Linked DNA regions of Macaca fascicularis. The protein of the gene in region 1 interacts with the protein of each later gene in a biochemical or structural test. Links are inferred from orthologs where the notes say so. Each region holds a gene or a part of one and is shown in the gene's direction. Other genes may lie near its edges.

Region 1 (7,365 bases):
GTGGGAGGATCCCTTGAGCCCACAAGATCAAGGCTTCAGTAAGTTATGGTTGTGCCATTGCTCTCCAGCCTGGGAGAAAGAGCGAGACCCTGTCTCTTAAAAAAAAGAAGCAGCAAAGGAAATCCCCAGGCCCTGGCCACCACCAGTCCGCTCCCTATCCTGTAGTCTTTCCAGTGGACTCCCACAGTGTGAGGCCCATTGACTCTTGACTCCCTTCCTGCCTCCCTTCTTCCCTCCCTCCCTCCCTCCCCTCGACGTTGTGCATTTGGGAGCCAAGCCTGTTGTTTGTTGTATCTGCAGTTTGCTGCCTTGATCACTAAGCAGTCTTCCAGGGAATGGATGGAGCACAGCATGGGCCTCCACTTGCCTGCTGGAGGGTGTTTGGGATGCTTTTTGTGTGTGTGGGTGTGTGTGTGTGTGTGTGTGTGTGTGTGTGTGTGTGTGTGTGTGTGTTTTCGTTTTTTGGTTTTTGTTTTTTTTTTTGAGACAGAGTTTTGCTCTGTCGTCCAGGCTAGGGTGCAGTGGCACGATCTCGACTCACTGCCACCTCCACTTCCCAGGTTCAAGCGATTCTCATGCCTCAGCCTCCCAAGTAGCCAGGACTACAGGCCTATGCCACTACACCCACCTAATTTTTGTATTTTTAGTAGAGACAGATTTTCACCATGTTGGCCAGGCTGGTCTTGAACTCCTGACCTCAGGCAATCTGCCCGCCTCAGCCTCCCAAAGTGCTGGGATTATAGGCATGAGCTACCACACCCAGCCTGCTTTTTCTGTTTCAGCATTTAACACTTTCTTGCAAAGGCTTGCAAGCACACACCCAAAGTCTCTGCCCCCCCTTGCAGCTGAGACTGTCACCCACTAAGCACTGGGCCATCCTTACACTCTTCTGCAGCCTCAGCTTCCCAAGTAGCTGGGATTACAGGAGTGAGCCATCACGCTTGGATAATTTTTGTATTTTTAGTAGAGATGGGATTTTGCCATGTTGGCCAGGCTGGTCTTGAACTCCCGACCTCAAGTGATCCGCCTGCCTCAGCCCCCCAAAGTGCTAGGATGACAGGTGTGAGCCGCCGCTTCCGGATCTGTTTTGAGTCACTTTCTGTCAGTTGTCCTCTGTGTTCTTTTTACAACTGTTTGTTGAAACCAGAGCTTAATTAAGCCCTTGCTTGTTATGTCACCATGTTTAAAATGGTCCTTCTCCGCTTGCCGTTGATGGGGATGAAATCGGCTCATTCGTCCTGCAAAGAGGCGCCCAGTTTTGATTTGGCCAATTGCTCCCTCAGGGCACCGGTGCGCCTATGCCTCAGAGCTGCTGTAGCTTGGAAATTGTACCAAAAGTCTGGAAGAGTCTGATTCTTTTTGTTGTTACTATTAGTGAGAATGCTGCTGGCCCTTCCACAGCCCCTGGTGCTCACCTGCCATGCTCCCGGGCCGGATCTGAGAGCGCTGGGTTGAGGGGACTCAGGCCTTATTAAACCAGCCACGCTTGCTCCCACAGACGGAGCACCCTGGCATTTTCCAGCGGGCCGACAAGTCCGGGTGCCTTGCCCTACTTTATTTTCGGAAACTTGAAGGTGCAGTGAGGGGAAGTGACTGGCCCAGGGCCAGGGGAGTCCAGTGAGGAGCATCCGAGCCCCTCCTCCCCAGCAGCCTGGCCTGTTGTGAATGGGAGCCAAGCCAGTGAGCTGCCTGGATCCATGGTTCCCATAGACCAACTTCATCCTGGGCAAAGGACAAGAAACATGAGGGAGGGAGAGTTTCAGCAAGTGCTGTGGACTCGCAAGCCCTGCTCTTTACCTGAGACTTTACCTTTCTAGCTTAAGTATGTGTGTGTGTGCATGTGTGCACACACGTGTGTGTTTTATTTTAGTGTTCATAGTTGGCCAAATTAGCTTCGCAGTTTTAATGCAGCACTTTGAACACGCCAGGCGCTAAAGACTTTACAGGGCGGGCACGGTGACTCACGCCTGTAATCCTAGCACTTTGGGAGGCCAAGGTGGGCGGATTGCCTGAGCTCAGGAGTTCGAGACCAACCTGGGCAACATGGTGAAAACCCGTCTCTACTAAAATACAAAAAATTAGCCGGGTGGTGTGGTGTGTGCCTGTAGTCCCAGCTACTCGGGAGGCTGAGGCAGGAGAATTGCTTGAACCCAGGAGGCGGAGGTTGCAGTGAGCCGAGATTGCACCATTGCACTCCAGCCTGGGTGACACAACAAGACTCTGTCCCCGAAAAAGAAAAAGAGATTTTATAAGGCAGTGGCTTGCAATGGCTCACTCTTGTAATCCCAGCACTTTGGGAGGCCGAGGCAGGAGGATCACTTGAGCCTAGGAGTTCAGGACCAGTCTGGGCAACATAGTCAGACCCTGCCTCTACAAAAAAAAAAAAAAGGAAAATCAGCCAGGTGTGGTGGCACATGCCTGCGGCCCCAGCATCTTGGGAGGCTGAGGCAGGGGTGTTGCTTCAGCCCAGGCGTTTGAGGCTATGATTGTTCTACTGCACTCCAGCCTGGGAGACACAGTAAGTTCTTTTCTCAAAAAAAAAAAAAAAAAAAAAAAAACCAGGCGCAGTGGCTCACGCTTGTAATCCCAGCACTTTGAGAGGCCAAGGCGGGCAGATCATGAGGTCAGGAGTTCGAGACCAGCCTGGCCAAGTCAATGAAACCCTGTCTCTACCAATAATGCAACAATTAGCTGGGCATGATGGTAGGCGCCTGTAATCCCAGTCACTTGGGAGGCTGAGGCAGGAGAATCGCTTGAACCCAGGAGGCGGAGGTTACAGTGAGCCCAGATCATGCCACTGCACTCCAGCTTAGGCGACAGAGTGAGTCTCGAAGAAAAAAAAAAAAAAAAAGACTGCACATTATTAAACCCTTGGCAGTTGGGCCTCCTGTCACCCTATTCCACAGGTCAGTAACGTGAGGCCCAGGGTCACATGGCCAGTTAGTGGCTCAATCAGAACTCCAGACCTTGGGGACAGTGGCCCTGCCTGTGACTGGCCCATCGGGCTGCCTGGCTGTGCTCTGTTGTCCAGGCTTTCTTGCCTGTGAGGGTGTGGGGAGTGCGACACCAGCCCCCTGTTCTGTCTGGGAAGCCTCCTAGTTCGCACGCCTTCTCTGCTGGCAAGACCAGGAAATGCTCCTGTCACCACCCCCGCTTACCAGGCTTGGCCCTGTACTCACAGTGACCCCCACTTTCCCCCAGATTCTTCTGCTGATCGACATTGAACAGTCCTACATCAACACGAACCACGAGGACTTCATCGGGTTTGCCAAGTAGGTACTTTTGGAGACAGTGGCTGGTCGGGCGGCACCAGTCCTTACTCTTAGATCCAAGGAGGTGATCGAGTTGGGATTCTCTGAGAGGGTGGGGGTCACACAGTCTCTATCGGGGGTCCTGGGGTGAAGGCAGAGCCACCTGAGAATATCTGGACACTCTCCTGGGCTGATAGTGGTCCACTGTCCCAAACCAACGCGCCTTCTGTGGGGCATCCCTGTGGTTAGTTTCGGGAGAGGGCAGTGCTATGGTCAGACCGGCAGGGAGAGGGCGAAGCCAGCCAGCTGCTGCACCCCCTCTCCCACAGGACTTGTCAGAGCCTTTAGCGACCAGTGGGCAGCTTTTCGCAGACTCTGCCCCTTCATGGACAGCATCTCGTGGGCTCAGGGCTCCAGAAGCTGCTCTTTGGGAACTGCTGCCTGGGGTCTCCCTCGCTTCAAGGCGTACACTGTAGATTTAAACCAGAACTTTCCATGGCACCTAGATGAGGGCCCAGATCGGGGAGCTCTGATTTCAGCAGGATGTCGCTATCAGTGCTAGTGGTCTCAGGCATCACCCGCCGATTCCTTCAGTCCCTCGGCGCGCCTGGGCCTCACTCAGATGGTTGGGGAGGCTCACGCAGGCCTTCCTGCCTGAGGCGGGCTGGATGGTGCCGCTGGTATGCCCTCTCGTGAGGCCCTGTGACAGAGCAGTGGGCAAACCCACACCCAGCTCCCCACCCTCAGAGGAAGGCCCCATGCAGGGAACCAACAGGGACACAGGCCGTTACAGCGTAGTGTGCTGGGTGGGGCCGTGCGGGGCCTGTCGAGGTCCAGAGGGCGGCTGTTGGGCCTTGCCTTGACGGGCCAGGCAGGCTTCCTAGGGGAGGGCCTCTAGAGCCAAATCTCAGGCTATGTGGTTACCGGATAGAACGTTTATTGGTGCACCTGACAAAGCTGATTGAGGACCTGTTCTGTGCTGGGCACCAGGTAGGTGGGGAGAAAGGAGGAAGGCAAAGAAAGGAATGAGGGCGGCCGGGCGCGGTGGCTCAAGCCTGTAATCCCAGCACTTTGGGAGGCCGAGACGGGCGGATCACGAGGTCAGGAGATCGAGACCATCCTGGCTAACACGGTGAAACCCCGTCTCTACTAAAAAAATACAAAAAACTAGCCGGGCGCAGTGGCGGGCGCCTGTAGTCCCAGGTACTCGGGAGGCTGAGGCAGGAGAATGGCGTGAACCCGGGAGGCGGAGCTTGCAGTGAGCTGAGATCCGGCCACTGCACTCCAGCCTGGGTGGCAGAGCGAGACTCCGTCTCAAAAAAAAAAAAAAAAAGAAAGGAATGAGGGCCTCATCAGAACCCCTCCTAGAGATGAGCTGAGGGCCCTGACTGGGCCTCCCCTGCCTGTGGGAGGCAGCCCCCCGCCCTGCGCTCCCGGCTGACAGGTGTGTATGGGCTCACAGCGCTGGTCCCCATCTTTGGTTTGCTGCTGTTTTCCTCACCTTGATGTCTCTGCTTCTCGCACTTCATCCACAGTTCCTTCTCACAATCTCTCCTGTTTTTCCTTTGACCACTCCACTCTTTCCTCTGGATTCCTGGGCCTTCCCACTTACCCCAGCTGTTACTATACTGAGCAGCTGGTGACCTGGTGGGTATTGCCTGCTGTGTGCCTTTGCCCTGGTGTGTGAACGGGTACGCCCTGGCCGGGTGGCCCCAGCCCTGGGTGGGACGTCCCCGGGGCCCGCTGAAGAGCTATGGGGTGCTGAAGAGCCAGGGCCACCGTTGGGCCTCCGGGCCAGGACCTTGACCGCACCAGCTGTAGCCCCTGCTGTTTCAGAGCCTGCAGGCTGGGGAGGTGGAGTCTCTAAGCAAAGTGTCACAAGGACGATGAGAGCAGGAAGAGAGGGTAGGGGATAGGCTGTGGGAAAGGGGAGCCAGGGATGTGGCCTGGAGAGATCTTCCTGAAGAAGTCAGGTGATGCAGGGGGCACACCAGAGAATTGAACCTAGGGAAGGACGGCTACAAGACCAGGCAGGTGGAGATAAGAGAGCCAGAGGCCAGGCCCTGTTATCAGGAGGGCCCTGCAGGTCCAGGGGAGGATTCTGGATTTTCCCCCAAGACACCAGGATGCTTCCGATTAGGTCCAGGCTCAGGAGAGGGGCCACCTTGTGGGCTGCTATTTGAGGGAGCCCTGGCAAGGGTGGGAGCCAGGAGGCCCTTAGGAAAAGCACCTCTGGGGCATCACTTGTCACCCAGCCATCACTGTGAAGGTTGGCTCAGCTCAGTGCCACCTCCTTCAGATGCTGCTGATCAAAATCCTTCTTGTGCTTAGATGTTCTGGACTTCCCATTACCCTCCAAATAAAATATTATAAACAGGGCCCAGGCCTGGTGCAGTGGCTCATGCCTGTAATCCCAGCACTTTGCAGGAGGCCAAGGTGAGTGGATCGCTGGAGCCCAGGAGTTTGAGACCAGCCTGGGCAACATGGTGAAACCCTGTCTCTATAAAAAAATACAAAAATTAACTGGGCGTGATGGTGGTGCGTAATCTCAGCTACTCAGGAGGTTGAAGTGGGAGAATGACCTGAGCCTGGGAAGTCAAGGTAGTGAGTCATGATCACACCAGGGCTCTCCAGCCTGGGTGACAGAGTGAGACTCTGTCTCAAAAATAAATAATAAACAGCCCAGATGAGCAGCCCTATAATAAACTTATTGAATGTTGGGGATAACATTGGATAAAATTCTGCCTTTGTTCTTAGTTTTCCAGTTCTTAGTTTTCCAGCCTTTTCTGATCTAGAAACAGAAGCCTACTTTCTCCCTTATCCTACAGCCAACTTGCACTCTAAAACAAAACCCCCAAGGTAGTCAGGAAAGGAAAGTGACCAAGCTGATTTGCTTCTCCATATTGTTCTGAAAGTTTCAGCCAAAGCAATAAGAAAAGAAAAGAAAATGTGATGGATAAGTAACAGGAGATGTACGTTGTTTGCAAGTGATCATATGATTGTCAGAGTAGAAAATATACTGGAACCGTAAGGTGGTGGAGTAGGTGTCCACATATAAAATATAGTGGGTTTTGTCTATGTTGGCATGAACTAGCCAGGAAGGAGGATGGATAAAGAAGAAAAGAGATCTGGGATTGTGGCTGCATAGGAACCTTATAGAAACACACCCTGTAGACCTTGGATGTCCTCTAAATTTGGGTCAGGAGTCGTGCAAGATACGTGCCGTTTCATGGCCAGCAGCTGTCCCACACTCTGATGTCGAGGACTGGATGGCTCTGTGGTTAGAGCCACTTACAGGCTGGTGTTGGGATCAAATCATGAGAAGAGTAGGAAGAAGGGCCGGGCGCAGTGGCTCATGCCAGTAATCCCAGCACTTTGGGAGGTGGAGCCAGGTGGATCCCTTGAGTCTAGGAATTTAAGACCAGCCTGGGCAACATAGCGAAATCTCATCTCTATAAAAAATCAAAAATTAGCTGAGCCTGGTGGTGTGCACCTTTGGTTCCAGCTACCCGGGAGACTGAGGCAGGGGAGTTACATGAGCCCGGGAGGTCAAGGCTGCAGTGAGCTGTGATTGCGCCACCGCAGTCATCTTAGGCAACACCTTCTCACAATTCCTCTTAGAAACTCCGGGATCCTAGTGACATCTGGAAGTAACCAACACTTTAGTAAGTCGGCTGAGCTGAGGGCCTAAGAAGCCTCAATCGAACCAGATACATTTTCTTGTTCCGTGTGCCCAGGCCGTTGCCCTTGTGCAGCTCCTTGTGTGCAGGGGGCTTCTCTCTGCCTCTGCCTCTGCCTCTGCCTCTGCCTCTGCCTGCTCACTTGGTCCCCAGGGAGAGAATGGCCACATGCGCCTCTTGCCCTTCTTCCCCCTCAGCATCCTGTCCACATGAACCCTGTCTGTTCTTTGATTTCAGTGCCCAGCAGAGGAGCACGCAGCTGAACAAGAAGAGAGCCATCCCCAATCAGGTAGCACACCCCTCTGCAGCCTGCCACTCTACCCTGGGGGGTGGGAGGACACTAAATGACAGCCCAGCCCCAGGGATGGAGCTCGGCCTGTGGAAAGCGCCCCCACAGCCTCAGTACCAGGCCATCTGCTCTCTCGGCCTCTGGA
Region 2 (7,365 bases), on another chromosome or scaffold:
CTTATTGCCCAGGCTGGAGTGCAGTGGCGTAATCTTGGCTCACTGCAACCTCCGCCTCCTGGGTTCAAGCGATTCTCCTGCCTCAACCTCCCAAGTAGCTGGGATTACACGTATGCGCCACCACACCAGCAGATTTGGTATTTTTAGTAGAGATGGTGTTTCACCGTGTTGGTCAGGCTGGTCTCGAACTCCTCACTTCAGGTGATCCACCCGCCTCGCTCTCCCAAAGTGCTGGGATTACAGGTGTGAGCCACTGCGCACGGCCGTCCCCGTCTTTTTATAAGGAAATTAATTTATCATAAGGGCCCCACTCTTACAGCTAATTGTTTGTTTTTTGTTTTTGTTTTTTTTTTTTGAGACGGAGTTTTGCTCTTGTGTCCCAGGCTGGAGTGCAATGGTGTGATGCCAGCTCACCGCAACCTCTGCCCCGCGGATTCAAGCGATTCTCCTGCCTCAGCCTCCCAAGTAGCTGGGACTACAGGCATGCGCCACCACGCCTGGCTAATTTTTTATTTTAAGTAGAGACAGGGTTTTTCCATGTTGGTCAGGCTGGTCTGAAATACCTGACCTCTGGTGATCTGCCTGCCTCAGCCTCCCAAAGTGCTGGGATTACAGGCATGAGCCACCATGCCTGGCCAGCTAATCTAATCTTAACCTTCCAGAGGCTCCATCTCCAAATATCACATTAGGGTAATTAGGGCTTAAAAGTATGGATTTTGGTGAGGTGGCACAAACATTCAGTTCCTAACAGTGGCATTTAGTGCACTCACAGTGTCTTGCAGTCACAACCTCTCTCTTGTCCCAAGATACTTTCCTTACCCCAAAACAAAACTCCATATCCATCATTCCCTCCAGCCTGTGGCAACCACCAATCTGCTTTCTGTCTCTTGGGATTTACCTATTGTGGATATTTCATATAAATTGAATCATGTATGACTGTTTATAACTGACATCTTTCACTTGGCACAATATTCTTGAGATTCATCCACCTTGCAGATGTATCACCTTACATCATCCCTTTCTGTGGTAGGGGGACTTTGAAATTTTTTTTTTTTTTTTTTTAAGATGGAGTCTACTCTTGTCACCCAGGCTGGAGTGCAGTGGCACAATCTTGGCTCACTGTAACCTCTGCCTCCCAGCTTTAAGCGATTCTCCTGTCTCAGCCTCCCAAGTAGCTGGGATTATAGGTGCCTGCCACCATACCCGGCTAATTTTTTTGTATTTTTAGTAGAGACGGGGTTTCACCATGTTGGCCAGGCTGGTCCCAAACTCCTGACCTCAGGTGATCTGCCCACCTCAGCCTCCCAAAGTGCTGGGATTACAGGTGTGAGCCACTGCACCCAGCCAGGACTTTGAACTTTAAGTATCAGAATAGAGGACACCGTTTCCTCTGAAATTACCAAAGGTGAGCAAGGAAACCAATACATACTTGCCCTCTTTCATCTCTAATCGCTGACTACAGTATGTGAAGGAAGTCTATCTAAAGCAGTGAAGTCCAAACAGGAATGTGGGAAGAAGCCAAAGAAGGATGCTCACAGCTGCAGATCTCAAGGCAGAGTGAGAAGTGATGGTTCTTAGATGTGGACCAGGGACTGGCATGCTGCACAGGGTGGCAATGAACACTCCCCTGGCCGGGGTTGGTACCAAGGAGAATTGCGTGAGGCCGACACAGAAATGAAATAGACACTGCTGAGGATAGTAAGGGACGCGGATGATGGGATTGTAGAAAATGTAGAAATAAAATGGACATAAACAAAGTATTAGAGAAAAAATGATAGAACCGAGTAATCATTCTAAATTTATAATTGATGTATCAAAGAAGGAAACTGAATAATGGGTTAGAAAAAATTGTTGACCGACTGTGATCTCTGTAGGGATAAGGACACAGCTTGTTCTTCAGTGTGAAAAGCTCACCTTTAGCTCTGCTTTGAGAAGTCTTGTTAGAATACAGGACTCATCAGCACAGTTATAAGACAAGGGGAAGGAGGGAGAGAGGCAGAGACTCATGGTCCAGAAGAGAGGGGGTTAATTCCTAAGGCAAGCTCATGGGAAGAAGGGAAAGGATGGAGTAACAGGGAAGGAAAGGAGTCTGGGTAGTGATGTAGAACTGCTAGATAAGGGTCTTTTAGAAACAGTGTTTGGCATGGAGGAGAAGACACAAGCAGAGAGGTTAGGCAAAGGGGGTTTTTATTGTGCTCATTAACAAGGACACAGAAGCTTAGGGAGTTCTGAGTTTGGGTTTGTACTACAAGTTTCAAATACACTGGTGAGTTTTCCTTTGAAAAGAGTATGTTGAAAATCATGAGCTTTCATAGTTGCTGTGTTCCTTGTCTGAAGTAACGTTTGAAGATAAGAAGAGGGAGAACTTTGAACGTGGCAACCTGGAACTGGAGAAACGAAGGCAAGCTCTCCTGGAGCAGCAGCGCAAAGAGCAGGAGCGCCTGGCCCAGCTGGAGCGGGCAGAGCAGGAGAGGAAGGAGCGTGAGCGCCAGGAGCAAGAGCGCAAAAGACAACTGGAACTGGAGAAGCAACTGGAAAAGCAGCGGGAGCTAGAACGGCAGAGAGAGGAGGAAAGGAGGAAGGAAATTGAGAGGCGAGAGGTAAGCAGGCGAGAGTGGAGCCACCCCGAGTTAGTGTGCAATTACCCCCTTTCAGAATTATCCAAGTGATCTATTCATGCCATCTTTGTCTTTTTACAGTTCAGTAGTTTTAGTATATTCCCAAAGCTGTGCAGCCATCATCCCTAATTCCAGAACATTTTCATCACTCCAGCTCCTTACCCATTAAGCAGCTACTCCCCATTTCTTTCTCCCTCCAGCTCCTGTCTATCATTAATTTACTTTCTGTTTTTCTAGATTTACCTATTCAGGACATTTTTTATAAATGGAATCATCCATATATGGACTTTTGTTTCTGGCTTTCATTTAGCATGATGTTTTCAAGTTTTATCCACATTGTAAAATGAATCAGTCCTTTATTCCTGTTTATGGCTGAGTAATATTTTATTATATGGGTATACCATGTTTTTTAATTCATTCAGCAGTTGATGGTCATTGTGGCTGTTATAAACAATGCTGTTATGAACATTAATGTACAAGTTTTTGATGATACAATTTTGTAACAAACCACTGATACCAGTTACGTGTTTTTCCGAACTGTTTTCTCTGTATACACCTATATAAAAATATAAAGGTTTATATGGTGGAGAGTATAAGGGTTGTGCAATTTTTTAAAAAACCACTGTAATAGTGTCATACCAATTACATTGTTCTGCAACCTTCCTTTTGTTTGTTTGTTTGTTTGAGACAGAGTCTCACTCTGTCACTTCCAGGCTGGAGTGCAGTGGCGTGATCTCAGCTTACTGCAACCTCTGCCTCCTGGGTTCAAGCGATTCTCCTGCGTTCAAGCGATGCTCCTGCCTCAGCCTCCTGAGTAGCTGGGATCACAGGTGCCCACCACAACACCCAGCTAATATTTCATATTTTTGGTAGAGATTAGGTTTCACCATGTTGGTTAGGCTGATCTCGAACTCCTGACCTCAGGTGATCCGCCCGCCTCAGCCTCCCAAAGTGCTGGGATTACAGGCATGAGCCACTGCACCCGGCCTGTGCAACCTTCTTTTTAAACTCTTTTAAAAATATGTGTGGGACATCCTCCCTATATTCTATGGAAGTCTTCATAAATTTAGCACCATACCTGGAAAGGGACTAAGCCAATCTTGTCTCTCTTTCCAATTTTAGTACATTACTGCAGAAGCAACACATAATTCTCTCATGTTAATGGAATAATAAAAATGAGGAATTTTTCGATATAAAAAAATAGCCTGAGTGCCATGCCTCAAGCCTGTAATCCCAGCCCTTTGGGAGGCTGAGGAGGGATGATCACTTGAGGCCAGTAGTTGGAGGGCCACTGCATTCCAGCTGGGGTGACAGAGCAAGACCCTGTCTCAAAAAAAAGAAAGAAACGAAACTTATAGCCATAACTCCTTTTTTTTTGAGACAGAGTCTCACTCTGTCGCCCAGGCTGGAGTTAAATAATAATTTCTCTTTTGGTGGAGTAAAATCAACTTTTGTTTGTTTTTGTTCAGGGGTGTTTTAGTTTGATTTTACTACATAAAGAAATTTTCCTTCTTGGTGTGTCAGTAAGTAAGAAGGAGCACTTTTAGTTAGTACATCAAGCATTCTTGAAGGTATAAAGAATGGAATTCTAATGGGGAAATGATCCTGTCATCTTACATAAATATAATATTACATAAATATAATAGCCAGCTCTGTATATTCCCTTTATTCCCATAGAAGGAATACCGTATTTTTATAAGTTACTTTTTGTTTTGTAATGTGATTTCTTGTAATGTTTATTTTTTAATCCCTAAAAGGAAGGACTTACTAGATGTCACTTTTGTGAAGAGACATTGTGTAGTGTAAGAACTGAAAAATTAGTAATTTGTCTTTGTAAATGTCACAGGCTGCAAAACGGGAACTTGAAAGGCAACGACAACTTGAGTGGGAACGGAATCGAAGGCAAGAACTACTAAATCAAAGAAACAAAGAACAAGAGGACATAGTTGTACTGAAAGCAAAGAAAAAGACATTGGAATTTGAATTAGAAGCTCTAGTGAGTGAAGTTTGGTTATACTTTGGAAATATACTAAGATGGAACCATTAAAAACAGTAATAATTTTTAATTACTCTTTCATTTGTTCAAGAATGATAAAAAGCATCAACTAGAAGGGAAACTTCAAGATATCAGATGTCGATTGACCACCCAAAGGCAAGAAATTGAGAGCACAAACAAATCTAGAGAGTTGAGAATTGCCGAAATCACCCATCTACAGCAACAATTACAGGTGAGGAAATATGCCTCTTAAATGCTATTAAACTGGCATCCTTTTCTCTAATTCATTTCATTTACTTATTTATTCAGTAAACATTAAGCAACTATCTTGTATTAGGCACTGGGAAGCAAAAATGAAGTAGACAGGGTCCTTGTGTGAAAAGTAGCCTGTCAAGGAGACAGACTCAGCAGATGTTTATTGAGCACTGCTTTGGGCCAGATGCTTTTGCAGTTTCTGAGGCTACAGCAGGGACAGACACTCTGTCTTCTGGGAGCTTACCCTCTCTGTTTGCCGGAGGAACAGAGACTAACAAAATAAAGTGTGTACTGTATTAGAAGATGAAAAGTGCTAGGGAGAGTGAGTAGGGAAGGGAATAGAGAGTCCTAGGGATAAGAAAGGTTGTGATTTTAACTAAGGTAGCCAAGACAGGTCTTTCTGGATGGTGACATTTGAGCAGAGACTTGAAATTAATGATAGGCTAAGCCATGTGGGTATCTGGCAGAGCAAGATCTAGGCAGAGAAATAGCAGTGCCAAAGTCCTGAGGCCATGGCAGGACTCTTGAGATGCCAGTTACAGCAAGGAGACTACTGGTTAGAGCAGGTGGGAGCTGGATCACACAGAACCTGTAGTCCAACAGGACTTTGGCTTTACTGCGATAATTATAATAAATAAGTACACTTAAGTATTTTAGGGGGTCATATGAGAGCTATACGTATAGTAAATAGTTGGAGACGCACAGAGCACTATTAGTAGTTCTGTCTTCATTTTAAACCCTATCCAAAGTTGTTATGATATAACCTGGTTTGGTATCAAGTGTTGAACATCAAATTCATGTAAATGTTGCCTGCAGATGATCATATTTGTCTGTGACTCTTTTATGTCAGACTTTTTCTCAGCATGATGTTTTTGAGATATATCCATGTTATTGAGTGAATGACTCCTTTGTTTCTTTTCATCACAGAGTAGTGTTTCCTTATATGTTCATTCACCTATTGGTTGATATTCAGGTTCTTTCCAGTTTGGAACTTTTATGAATAAAACTGCAGTGAGCATTTATGTACAAGTCTTTATGCGGAAATGGTTTATTTCTCTTGGGTAAATTTTTAGGAACGGAACTACCATGTCATATAAGTATATATTTAACCCCATAAGAAACTGTCAGGCCGGGCACAGTGGCTCACACCTGTAAACCCAATACTTTGAGAGGGCAAGGTAGGAGGATTGCTTGAGCCCAGGAATTTGAGACCAGCCTGGGAAACATCTCTACATTAAAAAAATTTAAAAATTAGCTGGCATGGGGGCATTCACCTGTAGTACCTGCCTGAGGCAGGAGGACCACTTGAGCCCAAGAGATGGAGGATGCAGTGAGCTATGATTGAGCCACTGACAGCCTGGGCCACAGACTGAGACCCTGTTCCAAAAAATAAAAGAGAGAAGAGAAAGAAAAGCAAGAGAACTGTCAAACTGCACAGAGTTTGTACCATTTTACATTCTGATCATTTAATTTGTATTTCCCTGAAGGCTAATGATGTTGGGAATCATCTTACATGTTTATTGGCGAGTATCTTTTACTGTGTATCTTTGTTGAAGTGTCTGAACAAATCTTTTGCCCATTTTTTATTGGGCTGTTTGTCTTACTATTTATTTGTAAAAGTTCTTTTTATGTTCTTAACAAGTCATTTGTCAGATACATGTTTTGCAAATATTTTCTCACAATCTGGATTGGGTTTAATTTTTGTAGTGGTATTTTTTAAAGGGCAGAAGTTTTAAATTTTGATAAAGTTCAGTTTACCATTTTTTTTCTTTTGGTGTTCATGCTTTTTATGTTCTATCTAAGAAATCTTTGACTACCCCATGATTGCAGATATTTTATTTTCTTCTAGAAGTTTTTGGGGTTTAAAAAAATTAGTTTTAAGTTTTTATAAATTGCAAAAAAACTTTAAAATTTTAAGTTTCATAGTTGTATCTTATATGTTTAGGTCTATGAGCTATTTCAAGTTGATTTTTGCATATAGGGTAAAGGTTGAGGTTTTTTTTTTTTTTACATACTGATACACAGTTGTTATAACACGATTTATTAAAAACACTGTCTTTTCTCCCATTGAGTTACCTTGGTAGCTTGTTGAAAATCGGTTAAACATATTTGTAATGGTCTATTCTGGACTCTATTCTGTTCTTTAGATCTGTCTGTCCTTTACCAGTATCTCACTCTGTCGATACCTAATTTTTGAAGTCAGGTGATACGAATTCTCTGTTATTGTTCTTCTTTTTTCAGAATTGTTTTTGGTTATTCTAGGTCCTTAACATTTCCATGTACATTTTAGAATCAGCTTACCAGACATGCTTGGAATTTTGTTGGAATTCCATTGAATTTATAAGTCAATTTGGGAAGATTTGGCATCTTAGCAATAGTAAATCTATGGCATAAATCTCTGTTTAGGTTGTTATAAATTTCACTCAGCAATGTTTTGTAGTTTGCCGTGTCTAAGTCTTGTACATACTTTGTAAAGTTTATCCCTGAGTATTTTGT

The links. The genes of interacting proteins can lie anywhere in the genome.
Region 2: the proteins of DNM2 (region 1) and ITSN1 form a complex in vitro, tested with the Homo sapiens proteins (2 studies listed by BioGRID and IntAct, with this or other methods). The link is inferred for Macaca fascicularis from reciprocal best matches to the Homo sapiens genes DNM2 and ITSN1.

What each region holds. Positions count from the first base shown.
Region 1 is NC_088393.1:11,367,856-11,375,220, forward strand, and holds part of DNM2 (dynamin-2), read left to right. Parts: intron 1-3,201; coding exon 3,202-3,272; intron 3,273-4,868; coding exon 4,869-4,898; intron 4,899-7,168; coding exon 7,169-7,220; intron 7,221-7,365. UniProt on the Homo sapiens protein: Catalyzes the hydrolysis of GTP and utilizes this energy to mediate vesicle scission at plasma membrane during endocytosis and filament remodeling at many actin structures during organization of the actin cytoskeleton.
Region 2 is NC_088377.1:13,152,209-13,159,573, reverse strand, and holds part of ITSN1 (intersectin-1), read left to right. Parts: intron 1-2,337; coding exon 2,338-2,600; intron 2,601-4,464; coding exon 4,465-4,614; intron 4,615-4,705; coding exon 4,706-4,846; intron 4,847-7,365. UniProt on the Homo sapiens protein: Adapter protein that provides a link between the endocytic membrane traffic and the actin assembly machinery. Acts as a guanine nucleotide exchange factor (GEF) for CDC42, and thereby stimulates actin nucleation mediated by WASL and the ARP2/3 complex.